2 linked regions of the Oryzias latipes genome follow. The protein of the gene in region 1 purifies or fractionates together with the protein of each later gene. This does not show direct contact. Links are inferred from orthologs where the notes say so. Each region holds a gene or a part of one and is shown on either strand. Other genes may lie near its edges.

What was found.
Region 2: the proteins of ntrk1 (region 1) and cdc37 purify together in Homo sapiens (affinity purification with mass spectrometry; 3 studies listed by BioGRID and IntAct, with this or other methods). This does not show direct contact. The link is inferred for Oryzias latipes from reciprocal best matches to the Homo sapiens genes NTRK1 and CDC37.

What each region holds. Positions count from the first base shown.
Region 1 is NC_019874.2:29,079,821-29,083,924, forward strand, and holds the start of ntrk1 (high affinity nerve growth factor receptor), read right to left. Parts: upstream 2,810-4,104; 5' UTR 1,627-2,809; coding exon 1,430-1,626; intron 1-1,429. UniProt on the Homo sapiens protein: Receptor tyrosine kinase involved in the development and the maturation of the central and peripheral nervous systems through regulation of proliferation, differentiation and survival of sympathetic and nervous neurons.
Region 2 is NC_019866.2:8,383,066-8,387,122, reverse strand, and holds the start of cdc37 (hsp90 co-chaperone Cdc37), read left to right. Parts: upstream 1-1,257; 5' UTR 1,258-1,416; intron 1,417-1,497; 5' UTR 1,498-1,498; coding exon 1,499-1,606; intron 1,607-1,796; coding exon 1,797-2,072; intron 2,073-2,229; coding exon 2,230-2,335; intron 2,336-2,421; coding exon 2,422-2,537; intron 2,538-2,677; coding exon 2,678-2,800; intron 2,801-3,048; coding exon 3,049-3,231; intron 3,232-3,313; coding exon 3,314-3,385; intron 3,386-3,484; coding exon 3,485-3,610; 3' UTR 3,611-4,057. Other genes in the region: cmc4 (cx9C motif-containing protein 4), read left to right, coding at 55-197. UniProt on the Homo sapiens protein: Co-chaperone that binds to numerous kinases and promotes their interaction with the Hsp90 complex, resulting in stabilization and promotion of their activity. Inhibits HSP90AA1 ATPase activity.

The DNA of each region.
Region 1 (4,104 bases):
TGACTGACCCACGCAGCCATAATGTGATTAAAGGACAGGTGGGCCCAGGATTACCCCACTGGCCGTGCTTATTGGATTGAGCCAAGTGGGTTATATATCATCTATTGTTCCCGAGTGGAGGCATTGACTGGCAATTCACAAAATTGAATTTATAACTCTGCCTATGATGAATTTCGGCTCCTGTCCCTCGGTTAATGGCCCCTTGTTTGTCTTGCCTTGCTCTGCCAATACCGAGAAGTGTTGCTGTTTGCTGGCATGCAGAGCGGCGCAGTAAACACCAGCCTGCTCTCTTATTGATTGGGCGTTTGGGAGAGAATGTCAAGCCTTGGCCCGAGCTCTGTGTTTAACTGAAGACACAAGGAAATACCTGTGAGGTAGCAGGACGACAAGACGCTGAAAGGGGGGGGGGGGGGGGGGTTACAGCTCTGCATAGGTTGAAAGGAACTGGCCGTTAATTGACTTGCTCCACTGAAATGGGCGTAGTTCCTTCTTAACAAGTGCTAATTGCTCAGCTCGGAGAAGGAGAACAAAGAGAGAACAGCGTGGCGGTGCAGGGAGTGACATTTAGTTTTCTGTGCTGGAGCTGATGGTGGGTTGCTTAATAATACAGCAGCCCTCTTTAAAATCACAGGTGGTCAGTTTCCCTCTGCCTTTTCTGAGCAGAGCTTTAAAAAAACTCGGTAAAATAGCAGTTTTCTGGGGTTGAGTGGAAAGTCTCAGCTCACCTGAGCGACAAGTGAGTTTCCTTCCACACAAACCCTCCTCAAATGTGGAACCAAAAGCCCATTTTCATGGCCAGCAAAAGAGCTTCCAAAACATGGAATCATATTCATCAGCCTTCATCTGCTTTGGGTCAGAACAACCTCAGAGTCTCAAGCAGGAGATTTGAGTCACAGAAATGAAGAGATGATATTTTTAAACACTTGACAAACAAAAACACCTGGATTCCGAATACCATAAACAGATCGAGAACAATAAAGATTAAAGATTATGTGTTCATAAAAAGACTTTCCTGCATCAAACGTTCATTCTCTATCTGTGATCATACAAATATTTTTATTCAAACTTTGTTTGAGTAACTTTGTTTCACTAATTTGTGAAAAATAAAGTTTGAAAAAGTTTATTCTAAAGATGCAGATCATCCTCGCAAACTTCGTACATCGCATCTCCATCGGTTAAAAAGCTGATCCAAGTTCAAGCCAGCTAAAGTTGCAGTTGACATGACATGAACCTCCAACTGTTGCAGGAAAGTTTGCTGAGACTTTCTCAGTGTGGAAACTGAGAGCTGCAGAGCGCAAACGTTTTCCTTCAGGAGGTTTTTGGAGGCTTTTAAAACTACTTTATCAGAAATGAAAACAAGAGCCAAAGCAGACCATCACAACTGTGTTTGGGAGCTTGAGGTGGAGGTGTGGCGTTGAATGCTACTTACATCTCTGTCACATTTTCACTCTCCATTGGGTCGAGTGGTGGGATGCTGGTGATCCGGTTGGGCTCCAGGCACTGCAGCATGGCAAATGAACAGCGGCAAGCCAGAGGGCATCTTCCCAGAGCGGGCACGGGCGACAGACTCAGGATGGCGAGCACCAGGGGTAAAAGAAGAGCCAGGGCCTGGGCTGCTGCAGCCATCTCCACGAGGGGTCTCCTCAGCACCACCAGGCAGGTATGGTAGCTATAGCTGGAGTTGGAGTCTCAGCGCTTCACTTAAGTGAGCGTAAACAAGAGCTAGCACACACTCCTCTCTCTGAGATCCCAGCTGGTCGGGGTCTGGTAACACAGCTGTACTGAGCAGCAGGAGGGGCGGCCAGGCAAGGAGGCTGAGGGCCCCTGGGGACATACTGGTAGTGGGCTGGAGCCTCTCTATTTCTCCCTCTCTCCTCCAACCTCCACGTGAAGGGAGGAGCAACAGAACATGGCCAGGAGTCACCAGACACCTCTGGGAGCAGGATGGTGGATGAGGGAGGGGCTGGAGGGGAAGGGTGTGTGTTGATAATGAGGAGGAGAAGAGGGATACAGTGATGGAGATCTCCTCTGCCCCCGTTGCTCCATCCCCCCTTCTTGAAGTGTGAGCAGAGGCAACAGTTCAGGACTCCGGGGTCCTGGATGGTGTGCATCAGCATCCCCCTCTGTGTCCTGGGACAGCCAAAGGGCTGGTGAGTGCTGACATGAAGCGTCAGGGATGATATTAATGTCTGTGGGTGGAGGAGTGGAAACTCACTCAGGAAGACGTGAGGACTCAGAGCAGAACAGATTTTAAAGGAGTGGAGACCTTCCAAAGCTTCTGCTGAGCTCATTTATCAAAGCAAAATAACTTGACTCAAGTTTTCCATAAAAAAGCATCAGGGGATCCGCCAAATATCTGGATTTTTTTAGGGTTTCTGAGGTATTGGAGGAGGGAAAAAAAGATAAAAAGCCTGTAAGAAAGTCCAAGGATTCCTATAGTGCCTATCCATCTACTACTGGGCAAAGGTGGAGCAAACAGGTTGCCAGTCTGTTGCAGAGCCACAGATGCGCACCTATAGGAACAATTTCTTATCCTAAATTAACCCATGAAGCATGTTTTTGGACTGTGGGAGGAAACCGACACATGTACAAGGTGAGCATGCAAAATCCACTTAGAAAGGTCCTAGCTGGGACTCGAACCAGGATCACTGTGGGGTGAGACTGTGCAGCCCACTGTAAAGAAATGATAGAACAAGAATAACAAAAAACTATGAAAAATAATGGAAAACTTCATAAAAAATCAAACTGATAATGTTATTTTAGACCTAAAGTAGATTAAAATCTCAGAAAAATCAAAGTAGTGTGCTGCATGCCATAACTCCTATGATCCTACAAGTGCTCTCATGTCTGCCGCTTAGATATCCATTTACTTTATGATCTCTATAGGAGCAAAGCCCCCCCCCATGGAACACAAACTGCCTCCCACCCCCATTCCTCTTAGTCATGAGTAAGGTCATGGTGTCTTGACCACAATTACTGGCCATGAGCGCAAACGACAATTTCTGCTGCCATCATCAAGTTTATCTGCTGGCTTCATTACTCCCCCCTTTTATGCCCCCCCATTTTCTTTGTCTTAGCTCAGCAAAAAGCGAAGAGGGACAAGGAAGCACTTATTCCCGGGAAAAGTGTCTGAGAGCTGAAGTGTGGCAGTTAAACAAAGAAAATCCTGTGGAGCAAGGGAATGCAAAGATACCCACATGAAGTCAGTTTGCAAAATGGGTTCGATTATCAGATCATAAAGAATTTATGTCTCCAAAGCTCCCAAACACAGACAACAGAAGTACAGATGGTTTAGTTGAAGGAACTAAACTGTCTAGAAAAGCAAACTTCTGGAGGATCAGTCGGTAACAGAACAACTGGCCCCTCCAGGCCCTGTCCATGGTCCTGGAACTGCACTCACGTTTAGTGACTGTAAAGCTCCAGACAACATTTGGAGAGCTTCAAATTCTGAATAGTTAACAGATTATAGATCTAGTGGTACATTTAAAGTGACAATCGTAGCACAATTATACAGAAAAAGAAGCCGTAAAAAATTAAGGAATTCAGTCAAAGAAGGAAAAAGCTGAAAAAGGGAAATACTTCATCAAAGCGGTTCAGGTAGAACCGCAGGTCTGCTTGTAGCTGCGCTGCTGGACGCAGATGGAAACAGTCTTCTGAAAGCTGAAGTGAACTCCATCTTTGTCACAGTCGCCTCCAAACTTCAAGAGATTTCCGTTTCTGCACTTTTTTCCGATGGACCATTTGCTGCTTAAATCTCGTGAAGTTGTTTCGTTGACGATCTCTGAATGAAGGAATTTGATTAACTTTCTGCTCGTCAATCAGGAAAAGTGGGAAACTTGCTGGATTCTGGCAACAAATCAGAATGGGACCTAACATCTCTGACGCTGGGGTCATCTTCTTATGCAAATGTCAGTGCAAGTATCAAATGTGAGGACAGGAACCACAGCATAAAACTAGATCTTTAAGTGCTGCTAATCAACTAGGGATGAACTAATCAATGAAAAAAAAACAAAAAAAAACTCCCCGACACCTTTTATAACAGTTTTTTTTTTTGCATACTTAAAATAGTGTTTGTTGTTTTTTCCAGCATTTACTGAGCCGCTA
Region 2 (4,057 bases), on another chromosome or scaffold:
TCTTCTAATGCAAATCTCAAACAAATTTGTGAACTTTTTGTTCTCATCTCACAGCTAACAAGTATGTGGAAAGTAAATGCGAGGATGTGATCCGAGAGATGCAGCGGTGCTGTGCAGCGCAAACTGGAAACTCCGTCTGCTGCTCAGGTTTCAAAGACTCCAAACTGACAAACTTCAAACCGAGCAAAAATAGCTGACACCACCTGCTGATGACTTGCATTCAATGGAAATAAAAAGTATATAAAATTGTCTAGTTCATCTTCTTTTCTCTGTTAGATTGAACATTTTCTAGCTATTTTATTCAAACGTGTTGTCACAGGTTATGATCGCAACACCGGCGATGAAGAAAAAAGGAAAACATTCACAAACTGATCTTGTTTTCCTTTCTTAGAACTTGAACTTTTCCTTCTTGGGAACGGACAAACTAAATTATCATCTATCAGTCTGGAGCACACATCTATATCTGAAACATAACTATATAAAAATCATATCTGGCCATTTATATCAAGAACGAAAAATAGCAGTAAGCAAATGAATATCATACTCTTAGTTTACCATATTACGTAGGTACATTTTCTAAATCTTATATGTAAAAATAATAATCTTCTAATATGTGTTCAGATCAGCATTCTAATTTATTCTTAATTCGCCTTGAAAAATGTAATCATTCGGGTCATGGTGCTTTTCTTTCTTTTTTATATTTAAATATAATTTCCCTTTTCTTTAATTTTTATTGAACAATTGCAACATACAGAACAAAGAAATGCAACAATTATGCACAGATAATGTACATTACAATTCTGAATACAGAATAAACGTGTTACATGCTTAAGAAGATTCTAATTATTTCTAACAATCACAAAAGGGAATAAAAAATTAAAATAAATAAAGAAAATAGAACTAAACATAGAAAAAAAATGATAAAATAAAAAGAGAAAATGCGAGAGTAAACTTGTGTTATTATTCCAAAAGATTTACAAATGTTAATTGTTTTTTGAGCTTTTGTGTTTTTTGAAGCTGAAATTAAGTTTAAATATTGCTGCAGTTCCAGTTTTAACACAAATAAATCAGTTTTTTATAGGAGAATTTGCTTTTATGAATATCAAATTTAGCCATAAATAACAACATGTTTATACAAAAGAAAGCATCACAGTCTTTCAGATTAAAACTATGAAAACCAAATATTTTCCGTTTTTGGTCATTGTTTCCGGTGTCTAAATTACGACGTACAATGTACGCGCCTTACGTATGACGTAAACGGAAGCTTTGGGGAGAATTTCTTCTAGAACTCTGTAGCAGCTTCCCGTTAGCTCTTGCTTGGGAGTAACAAATCAATTCGCACGACCAAATTTGGAGTACAGAAACACAGAGCACCAACACACATTTCTGAAGGGTTCGAGTGTGAATATTTCTTAGGTCGGTATTTTAGCGAGCGTGATTTAGACGCCAACTTAACCGAGTTCTAGTCGAAGCTAGCGCTGCTTCTTCTTGCTGCAGGATGTCCAGGATAGATTACAGCGTGTGGGATCACATTGAGGTATCGGATGATGAAGATGATACCCACCCAAATATTGACACTCCCAGTCTCTTCAGATGGAGACACCAGGTAAATATAAAAGCTTTTCGGAAAAGTGCTTAGCGTGATCGTTAGCTTTCACTTTCTGCTTGTAATTCTTCAGCCATGCTAATTTTCCTACTTACTTCGGATTCCTGAATTTGAACTCAAACTGGACAAGAGCTGATGAGTATTTGAAATTGTTTACACATGATGTTCACGCGTGTGATCTGTTCCTTAGGCGCGCGTGGAGCGAATGGAAGAATTCCAGAAGAAAGGCGAAGACCTAAAAAAAGGACTCGCCGAATGTCGGCGTAAACTCACGGAGTTACAGACAAAGATCCAGGACCTGAACCTTTCCGATGGTGTCAAAACAGAGCTCACCAAATACCAAGCCGATGAGAAGAAGCTGAAAAAAGAGGAGCGGGACTGGGAGAAAAAGCTGGATGAGTACTACAGGGAGGAGAAGAAGATGCCGTGGAACGTGGACACACTCAGCAAGGAAGGGTTCAGCAAGGTGACTTCTATATGCAGATAGAAACCTGTGGTTTTCTAGCAAGAGGTTGGAAAATCCAATGAAGCTCACATTAGTCCGTTGACATTTTATAAACAAAGTAGTTATTTCAAATCAATGCTAGATGGTGTCAAATCTTGATCTTTGTTCTCGCTTATAGAGCATAGTGAACATAAAACCTGAAACTTCGGAAGATACGGAAGAAGAAAAGGAGAAAAAACACAAAACATTTGTTGAAAAACACGAGAAGCAGATTAAACATTTCGGTAAGCCTGAGTAACTTCCATAAGGTCATTCTGTTGTCTTTTCCCTTCTTTAAAAACAATTTAAGTCTATTTTTATTAACTTACAGGGATGTTGCGACGATGGGACGACAGCCAAAAGTATCTCTCTGACAATCCTCATCTTGTATGTGAAGAAACCGCTAACTATCTCGTCATCATGTGCATTGATCTGGAAGTTGAGGAGGTAAACACATATACTTATATTTTTATTTTATATTCTTGTATCTTTGTTTTTTAGCATATCTTCTCCTCAAAGTGTGTGCTCCTGTTTGCAGCTGTTTAGGTTTTTCATTTCTTAGTAAAGCTTTGCTTTCCTATTTGCAGAAACACGCACTGATGGAGCAGGTGGCCCATCAGACCATTGTCATGCAGTTCATTCTTGAGTTGGCAAAAAGCCTCAAAGTGGATCCCCGCGGTTGCTTCCGTCAGTTTTTTGCAAAGATTAAAGTAAGCAAGTTTATTTAATTTTATTGTGTTTAATTGCTCTGAACTTATTCATTTTAAAGAAGATGTTTGGGCAGGAAAAGAAAGGGTGCTTTCATAAACAAGCAGTACAAAAATCAAAGGCAGTCTGTCTGTTATTCCTGGACTAAAACAGATTATTTTAAAAGTCCTTTTTTTTTTACCAGAAGTTTCTGTAAAATTTTATACTTCTGGTTTGGAATGTTCACATTTGTTCATTTGTTTTCTTACAGACCGCAGATCAGCAATACCAAGATGCTTTTAACGACGAGCTTGAGGCGTTTAAAGAACGGGTGAGAGGAAGAGCAAAGATTCGCATAGAAAAGGCCCTGAAAGAATACGAGGAAGAGGAGCGGCAGAAGCGGTTGGGGCCTGGAGGCCTGGATCCAGTTGAAGTGTATGAGTCGCTGCCTGCTGTAAGTGCATTCTAACAAGCAGGGTTTCATTTTTTGTCTCTATTGAGTTTGAAATGCTCACATAGTTTGCCTTCAACCACAGGAAATGCAGAAATGCTTTGATGAGAAGGACATCCAAATGTTACAAGAAGTCATCAGTAAAATGGATCCAACTGTAAGCTATACAGTTTTGTCTGGTTGAATCTTTTTGGATTTAGGTGCTTTTTTTTTTTTTAAGAAATCCCTGTTAACATGTGACTGTCGTGTCTTTTAGGAGGCAAAACATCATATGAAGCGTTGCATTGACTCAGGTCTGTGGGTCCCCAACTCTGGGGAAGGAAAGGAGGAAGAAGGGACCTATGAAGAGGTGAAACGGGAGCCGGAAGAAACAAAGGAGTGATCACAATGGATTTGTTGTTTGCAATTGTATTCACTTACTGTACCCCAGTCTCATTTAATGTAAAACAGCTTGCCAATAAACACCATCATTTCTTTAAACTTTTTGAGTACAAATTTGAATTATAAATGTGTAATAAGTCACATATTTGAAACAACAAAAACAAACTGTGTTTCTGCATCGCCTGAGCTGAATGTTTTTCCTTCATTTGTTATGCTTTGTTGGTATTGGTGCATAGTTGCAAGCTTAAGTCTAACATTGTCACATTTTTTTGCAACAGATATTTTATGTGACATTTGTACAACATTCACCGTTAAGTTCCAATGTTTTGATTTTTTTTTTTTCTTTCCTCCGGGTCTTTTACATTATTCAGGACAACAAAAACATTGACTTGTGCTCAAATAATCATTCAAACTGCTTGATTGATGAGCTTTATAGAACAGCTGGTAA